2 linked regions of the Daphnia pulex genome follow. The protein of the gene in region 1 purifies or fractionates together with the protein of each later gene. This does not show direct contact. Links are inferred from orthologs where the notes say so. Each region holds a gene or a part of one and is shown on either strand. Other genes may lie near its edges.

What was found.
Region 2: the proteins of metal-response element-binding transcription factor 2-like (region 1) and polycomb protein eed-like purify together in Homo sapiens (affinity purification with mass spectrometry; 3 studies listed by BioGRID and IntAct, with this or other methods). This does not show direct contact. The link is inferred for Daphnia pulex from reciprocal best matches to the Homo sapiens genes MTF2 and EED.

What each region holds. Positions count from the first base shown.
Region 1 is NC_060025.1:2,645,801-2,650,056, forward strand, and holds the start of metal-response element-binding transcription factor 2-like, read right to left. Parts: upstream 2,849-4,256; 5' UTR 2,633-2,848; intron 2,531-2,632; 5' UTR 2,453-2,530; coding exon 2,429-2,452; intron 2,366-2,428; coding exon 2,243-2,365; intron 2,183-2,242; coding exon 1,979-2,182; intron 1,913-1,978; coding exon 1,727-1,912; intron 1,660-1,726; coding exon 1,487-1,659; intron 1,429-1,486; coding exon 1,224-1,428; intron 1,158-1,223; coding exon 1,090-1,157; intron 1,028-1,089; coding exon 872-1,027; intron 807-871; coding exon 8-806; 3' UTR 1-7. UniProt on the Homo sapiens protein: Polycomb group (PcG) protein that specifically binds histone H3 trimethylated at 'Lys-36' (H3K36me3) and recruits the PRC2 complex, thus enhancing PRC2 H3K27me3 methylation activity.
Region 2 is NC_060028.1:332,023-336,311, reverse strand, and holds polycomb protein eed-like, read left to right. Parts: upstream 1-1,485; 5' UTR 1,486-1,675; coding exon 1,676-1,744; intron 1,745-1,827; coding exon 1,828-1,970; intron 1,971-2,030; coding exon 2,031-2,202; intron 2,203-2,266; coding exon 2,267-2,402; intron 2,403-2,487; coding exon 2,488-2,891; intron 2,892-2,974; coding exon 2,975-3,130; intron 3,131-3,248; coding exon 3,249-3,449; 3' UTR 3,450-3,716; coding exon of another isoform or gene 3,717-3,732; 3' UTR 3,733-3,734; downstream 3,735-4,289. Other genes in the region: eukaryotic translation initiation factor 1A, Y-chromosomal-like, read left to right, coding at 3,717-3,732, 3,846-4,033, 4,101-4,289. UniProt on the Homo sapiens protein: Polycomb group (PcG) protein. Component of the PRC2/EED-EZH2 complex, which methylates 'Lys-9' and 'Lys-27' of histone H3, leading to transcriptional repression of the affected target gene.

The DNA.
Region 1 (4,256 bases):
ACTATGGTCATGTTACATTTTCAGTGTCCCAGTGTATTAAATACTGCGCGTGCCCTTTAGACAGTACCCTACGAGCGTGCACGGTGTACTTCTCACCCCGCGATACACGCTCTTCTATGCCAAAATAGCTTAGAATAGATTCTTTGGGAGTTGGTTGATAGGGATTGGTTTGGGGACTCGTGAATCGAAATGAAGTGTCTGCGCTAAATAGTGCACTAGCCAAATCTGGTTGAGAAGATCGCTTCCATTTCCGCACGAATCTCTTACGCTTGACTTCGCCAGTCTTGGTAATTCGAATATCCTTTTCACTTAAACGCGTCTTCAGTGGACGAACGAAGAGATAACCAGAGCTGCGCGGAAGATTCTGATTTTGGGTAGATAAATTGCAGAACGGATTGTTTAAGCCGTCAAAGTTTTGGGGCGGTGGTATGAACATGTCTAAAGTTCCCTTCGAAGACGTTTCGTCGCAACTGGTTTCTACCGGAGTGGTCAACGAAGCTGAAAAGGATGAGACACTGCTTGAATTCTCTTCTCCTCCGTTGGTCCGTTTACGCTTGTTGGTCTTTTTGCTCGATAAGACCATCAACTTGACTTCGTCAGAACTTATTTCACAGATGCTCTCCTCAGATGTTGCTCTTTGCTGGCGAACCCGCAAAGTACGGTGAAGTTCAGGATCAGACGGTCTTGCTCGCTTTTTGGAAGGTTTTTCTCGTTCTTCACTCATTGCTAGTGACGAATGAGCTCTCTTGTTTTTACGAAACCCTTCAGTCTGTTTCTTCATGACCGGTGGGGTCGGAGAAATTTTCCTGTACAACAATTTCGATTGATGACATTTTTAACTTTGAAAAGTTAATAAATAGCAAGTACTTACTCGACAACTGTGCCTTGGGGAATCGAATTGCGTTTTGTCCACAACTGTAGTGTGTGTCGGGACTGTGGGGCTAATACAGAAGGAAATGTAGAGGGCAATTGGAAACGCAATCCCCACATGGTCTTCTTCTTTTTCAATTCTCGTCCGCACATAAATCTGATAAGATAAAAGATGTTGAAGCAAAATTCTTCATAAAGTGTAAGCAAAACACATTTTACCGGTTTTTGAACTGCCAGAAAGCGGCCAGTATCCTGGTTCGTTTTTCAGTGTCTGTCAAATGTAATAGCTAGACGAGAAGAAAGAAACATTGAATTTTTGAATAACAGTCAACAACAGTAACGAAATATTGTACCTCGCCGGAAGGGTGGAAATATTTCCAGTTATTCTCTATGAACGGTAATATGCTCATATCTAGATCGTGGTATTTCTTTGTCGTTTCCAGAGTCAAATTGAAAAGTGCAATGTGAGCCATATCCGCTAGGGTTAGCTCTTCACTTAATCTCATGAGGCGTTCTTCGTTGCCATTGTTGCACACGGAGCACAAGAAAAGAAAAAACCTGAATAACTCAAAAGGTTAACTGATTTGTTCCTACAACATTTTAAGGAAATTTTTACCTGTCGCCGTATAACAAAGGTTGCTTTAAGATAGATATGCATTCACCGTGAAACCATTGCGAGCATCCACAACACTGCAGCATTCGTTTAAACCATTCACCCAACTGTCCACAATAGCAATACTTTTGCTCAGCATTTGTGAAATGGTTTGCATCCCACCTAAGATTCGCCAACTAGATGCGAGAAAGATGAAATGTTGCATTAAGAGTTATTCCACATTGTTGTTTTATACACCCTTACGTCGTACGGAAAGCTACGTCTTTTGCGGATCGTGTTGGAAGAACTGCTGTTGTTGTTGTTGACTTTACCCCGTATATCTGGTTGCGAGTTGGCAATCTTATTTTTTTCCCTAGCTTGCCTCTTTTCCATGCATCTCATGCAAAGCCAATCTGTTTCTCCATTGGCAAACTGGCTTGGTAATGCAGGCTTTTTTGGAAAAAAAGTCAAAGAAGGTTACTAAAATGCTCACACACTGATTACTAAAAATAATACCTCATGACAGCGTTGATGGTATCCTCTTCTGCAGCAGTGACACAATAATATTTTATTACTAGAAGTAGACTGTATACTCTTGCACAAAATGCATGAAATATCAGTTTCCTCTTGAATTTTAATTTTTCTTAGATCACAAAAGTGAGCCCATCTTTCAGTATCATCTCCAAACTGAATAAGACACTTTTCTTGAAATGTGAGAACCTGCAAGTATAAATTTATAATAATACTTTTCGGGGAAGTTGAATGCACTAGCAAAAATACCTGAACAATTGTGCCAAAAATGAAAAGTCCATCTTCATCATGAAGAAGTACATCTTCACCTTCAGTAAATGTTACACGATCAACGGTTGTAGAATCTGGTGCTACAGGAGATTCATCTTTGGTCTAAAAGAATAATTTCTTGTTATTAACCGTGCTAGCAATTTAGAAATTTTTAATGAAACATACCAAGGCTTTGTAAGAATGTGACATGTTGAGGCTGCAATCAGGTTTGTCGTTGGACTTCAACCACCTTATTCCCCTCACCTGTTGCTTAACTCTTTCTAGTCACTTGGCAAGAAGAAACATATTTGTCTTCAATTAATTAGTTTGGTCCAGAACACATCGAATGAATTAAATCTGAATTAGCATTCGAAAATCATTTAAATTTACACAATCGGTCTAAAGATCCATTCGTTATAAATATGAGGAGCACTCTTTGGTTATTTCAAATAGTGAAATCGTGAGATACTGATTAAACTACCAACGAACATTAACGATAACTTAACAGCGGTTGAAAACTTGAAACAGAAACGTCAAAGTTTGAAGGAATTTTATCGACAGTTACCACTAGACGCCATTTAACCTTGATTTTCAAGCCTAGCGGACGAATGAGAAACCGGTATTAGAGCGGGAAGCGAAAATTTGATTTCTGTCTGTTTTTGTCTGTTGTCTTTTCGTTTTTTTGTTGTTTTCAGTTTAATGAATTATTTATTTTTTCTTGATGATGTCCACATTAAATTTACTAAAGCAACTATAAAATCGTGGATTAGCTTTTCGCCAAAATGTAATTATCATCAAATCTAAAATAGCTTATATAGCTGATTCCGAATTTAAGATCATCTTTAATTCTCATAATATACTTCAAAAGTGAAGAAACGATGCCATTAGAGACAGCATTCGTTTCAAGAAATATAGTTAAATGGGCTAGCCGTTAAATGAATTTAGAAAATTAAATATTTCTGCATTTTAAACTTGATGAACAAATAACAAAAAAAGGCGGATTATGACGTATTATTTTGTTTATTCGACACACTGTACTATTTTGATCAAGGTTCACTCGAAGGATTTTTGTGCTAACATGTTCGATTGTGGTACCAACAATTAAATTAGATTAGGAAGCAAAATCCATTAAGCTCAACTGGTTCCATAACTAGTTTTTGCTGTGTAACCTTTTTCTCGACAATTTTCCGCTGTTTATTTTGAATGAACATCGGTGTTCGTCAAACGTAATAAGACATGTACTGCAGAGCATGTACTATAACTAGGGGCGACCGAAGAATATTCTTTTTAGAATGGGAAAATTCCACTGGTTTTCTGCAGGAGAACAATGATAGCAAATAGTTTCGGAAGTAGATTATGAAAAAAATCTAGATAATATTTAAAACAAATTAATTTAAACAATAAAAAAATTCCGGGAAAAGTTGCTTCAAACCCATTTTAAAAAGTTATCGAGTACGTCAAATATACTGGTGTTAGCCTCAACATCATTGATTAGACAACAATCAAAGCCAACAAGTACCGTTTACATTTCGCGGTATTTTTTTTATTCCATGAAATTTTTTGCTTTAGCCTTAACATCATTGACTAGACATTCTGACATTCAAAGCCAACAAGTAATTTAAAATAAAAAGTTATTGAGTACATGATAACTGAATACTTACCTACTGGCGTTAGCCTTAACATAATTGATTAGACATTCAAAGTCAACAAGTAGGCTACATCTTAAATTCCATTCACGGTAACATATTTCGAAATTCAGTTAACAAGGAATTAAGCGACGAAGTAGATGTCAAGGAAATCAAGCCGAGCTTAGGTTACGCCTTGTTTCATCTACCCTGGTCGAGTGCCTTCGGCAGCAATGGGAAACATGCCCATTTAATTATTGGCGACCAATATATCCTTGATCAATGCGATAATGATTTAATTCATGAAATATCAGTTGATAATCGAATGTGTTTTCATTTGCCGAACTCGAACAACATTTAGCATCGGGAAAAATCTTTAAAGAAACAAC
Region 2 (4,289 bases), on another chromosome or scaffold:
GATACAATTAGGTTGATAATTTTACACCTAACCCCCCAAATCCAAAAGTGAATTAAAAAAAATGAAAAAAAAAAATTAAATAATGGATAATAATTTAGCTACATATTTTCGATATAACTGCCGGCTTTTTTTGGTATGTGTGGAAACACTCGGTGCGGCATTTGAGAAAGAATAGGCGACCAATCACATATTTGCTAATAACTTTACACAAAAAACTACAAAAAAATGATAGAGCTTCTTCTTCTGACGAACCCCATAATTTTCTTATTATAAATAGCGATCAAGTGTTTGTCCTTGGTGAAGCAAGAGGATGTGTATTTTCAAGTTCGTTTGAATGTCACGAGAGAGAGAAAAGAACTAGTGAGAATTTTTGCTGTGCAGCAGCAGAATGTTGTGTGTTGTGAACAAGGACCATCCGCCGTTTTCTCCGGTAAATAAACTGGAAAGGGCGGGGTCTCTAGTTGAGTTGGCGCTACGGACCAAGTACAAACCTGTTTTTTCGTCTTTTTTTTTTAGTTTTCACGTGAATTCTGACAGCCAAAGCAGCTGAATGAAATTCCTCTCCCTTTTTTTTTCTAGCTAAAATAATAATGATATATTGAATAAAAAAAGTCCTTAGAGAGAAAAATAAGATGGGATTAAAACAAACATTTAGACAACTCAAGTATAAAAAGCTAGATCAACAGGCTTTTTTGAAATATTATTAATTGTCGTCAATGTTTATTAATAACCACAGAAAATAAATTTCTCGTATGTGCTCTGTGTTTTATTATTTTTCTTTGGTGGAACAATAAAATTGAGAATTTCTTAATATTTTCATATGAAAAATTTTGAAAAAATCTGTTTGACATTTTTGACCTTGAAGAAAAATTAAAAAGACGGTCACGATGGACAAAAATTGGGCTTGCACGTTTTTCTATAAATATATAAGAAAAATAAAAAGCGGTTCTTCTTCTTGTTGTTTGTGGTTTCACCTCCCCTCCGGCAAGGTGGTTGCGTGTGCAAAATGCGGAATCCGCTAGGTGGCAGCACAAGATGTCGGAATTTTCTCTTGAAATTAATATAATTCTTTTTTTTTTTACTAAGAAAAAAGAACAGGAGATTCAGTTGTCAAGTGATGCACACTCATTTTTCTTCCAAGACATTGGGAAATCGCTGATGCGAAAATCTTTTCTGTTCCGCTACGTTCGATTTTTCCACGAAGTTTTACTATTTTTAGATTTTCACCCTCCACCGAAAACCCTTTTGGAAAGCGTAAAAAGTATTTCAACACTGGAAATATTTTGCCAGCCATCAATGACAAACTTTTAATAATAAAAATATCAAATATCGTCAAGCGCCAATAACGCACCAGCAAAAGTTTTCTAAAAAACAACGAAATGTTATTTGACCAAATCCTTTGTAACTCGAGTACCCGAGTATTTGTTCCGCTTGAAAGTTTTTTTTATCACGCACGTTCACGTTCGTTCATATTTTTTTAAAAAGAAAAAAGCGAAATTGCAAATAGTTCCGAAATTGGTCAGAAGAGGCTTCCATCGGCGGGAACGGCGTCGTCGGCTTTGTTTATGGATTCTTTTCGAAACTGCCAGAAATAAAACAAGCACATTTTTAGACAATAACCAAAGTTTGGATACTTGAAATCTGTTTTAACTATCTGTATTTGATCAAGTTAAATATGGCGTCAAAACGATCAGTCGAGCAAATGGATATCACTGAAACTGTGGAACTTTCAGGGGATGACATGGTAATCAGCTTGATACTGCTTTCTGTTTATAACTATAGAATTCTTGGGTTTAAAATGTTTTTTCTCGATTGGCACGTGAAAAGGAGGATACTGCTAGCAGTATTGGCAGTTCTTCAACTTTGGATACTGCCTCAAGGAGTGACACTCCAACTTTGAAACCCAAAAAACGGGGAAAGCCCGGCAGAAAGAAGGGCATCAAAATACCAAAAATCAACTACAAATTTGGGTAATTTGATTTTCGTGTTGTTGAATTCCTTTTAAATTGTATTAATGTTAATTTTTTTAGCTCCTTTATCAAAGAAGATCATGGCCAACCACTTTTCGGTGTCCAATTCAATCACTTGCTGAGGGATGGCCAACCTCTGGTTTTTGCAACTGTTGGCAGTCACAGGATATCAGTGTACGAGTGCCCAGATACTGGAGGGATCAAGCTTCTCCAGACGTACGCAGACCCTGATGTAACTATTTAATTATCTCATCCTGTATAACATCATTTTATCAATCACCATTTATCTAATACAGATAGAAGAAAACTTTTACACATGTGCATGGTCCTATGATGAAGAAACTGGCAAACCCATTCTGGCAGCTGCTGGATCCAGGGGAATTGTTCGCATAATTAGCCCAGCTACCATGAATAGCATCAAACATTACGTCGGTAAGCAGATGACGTTTATTGGAATAATGAAACTCTTTGTACTAAAATTGAGATAAAAATTTTATTTTGAAATAAAAATTAATAGGTCATGGACACGCCATCAACGAATTAAAGTTTCACCCGTCCGATCCCAATCTACTTCTGTCCGTTTCCAAGGATCACGCCCTTCGGCTCTGGAACATAAGAACCGATCAATGCATCGCAATTTTTGGCGGTGTCGAGGGCCATCGGGACGAAGTTCTCAGCGCCGATTTCGATCTGGAGGGTCGTCGGGTTATCTCGTGCGGAATGGATCACTCGCTGAAACTGTGGCGACTTGACACGGACGCCATTGAAAAAGCCATTGGCGATTCCTACACGTTTGCACCGAGCAAAAGTTCCAGGCCATTCGCTACCGTTCAAGAAAATTTCCCCAACTTTTCGACGCGTGACATTCACCGCAATTACGTCGACTGTGTCCGCTGGCTGGGCGATTTCGTGCTGTCAAAGGCATAAATTCTCAATTTTATTTCCTCTTTCGTACGTTCTCAAGCAATTAATGTTTTGTTTTATTTTATGTGTTAATCGTCTAGTCGTGTGAGAATACCATAGTTTGTTGGCGACCTGGCCGTTTGGCGAACAATGGCATACGAGTCATGAACAATAACGCCGTAACGGTACTACACCGATTCGACTATCGCGAATGTGACATCTGGTTCATGCGATTCTCACTGGATTCCTGGAACAAGGTGGGTCTTGATTTTTCAAAGAAATTTAAGCCAGATACCATCTGAACTTTGTAGTGCACCATGTGTTTATTTAAATTTATTTCAATTCTGTTAACTTTTATTGGTCGTTTGGAAACAGGTTATGGCGCTGGGCAATCAAGTTGGCAAGACTTTTGTGTGGGATCTCGACACTGACGACCCCATGGCATCTCGCCATTTAGTTTTGACACATCCCAAATGCATCTCGGCTATTCGTCAGACTGCGTTGAGCCGTAATGGCCATGTATTACTTTGCGTCTGTGATGACGCTACCGTCTGGCGTTGGGATCGTATTCTCTAATCATATATACATACATTCTTTTTCTTCTTCTTTTTTTTTCATTTTTAACAACCTGAATGTGTCAAAAATAAAAAAAAAAAGTAAAAATCACCATAAAAAGAAATTAATTCGATTTGATTAAAATGGCAACGTTGTTGACGTCCAGGGGCTAAACAGAAGTTGGTGTTTCTTTCCTTTCAGCACGTCCATTGAGAGTATCTGGCGTGGTGAGACATATGTGTGTGTTGAAATCTCAGCTTTTTATTAGTTTACTCAGAGAAATTCAACATGCCCAAGAATAAAGGTGAGTTTCAACCGTTCGTGCATCTCCCGAACAGTTTGTTTCAAGTGTTTGTCGTTTGTTTTAATTGATTTATAATTCGTACTTTCTCTTCCGATCCGATTCTGTCTTATTAGGTAAAGGAGGTAAAAATCGCAGGAGGGGAAAGAACGAGAACGAAGCTGAGAAAAGAGAATTGATCTTCAAAGAAGATGGCCAAGAATATGCACAAGTTACGAAAATGTTGGGTAATGGTCGACTTGAAGCTTTGTGCTTCGATGGAACCAAGAGGCTTTGCCACATCAGAGGGAAGCTCAGAAAGAAGGTCAGTCCCGATTGTTGTTGTGGCACTCTGAGTTGTCAATCATCTTTTTTTATTTTATTTTCGACAGGTCTGGATCAATCAGGGTGACATCATCCTGGTTGGCCTGAGAGATTACCAAGATGCCAAGGCTGACGTTATCCTCAAGTACAACGCTGATGAAGCCCGTAACTTGAAGACATATGGTGAAATCCCAGAAACAGTCAAGGTCACAGATACTGTCAACTTCGTCGACGACGGCCTGGATGATGACATCGAG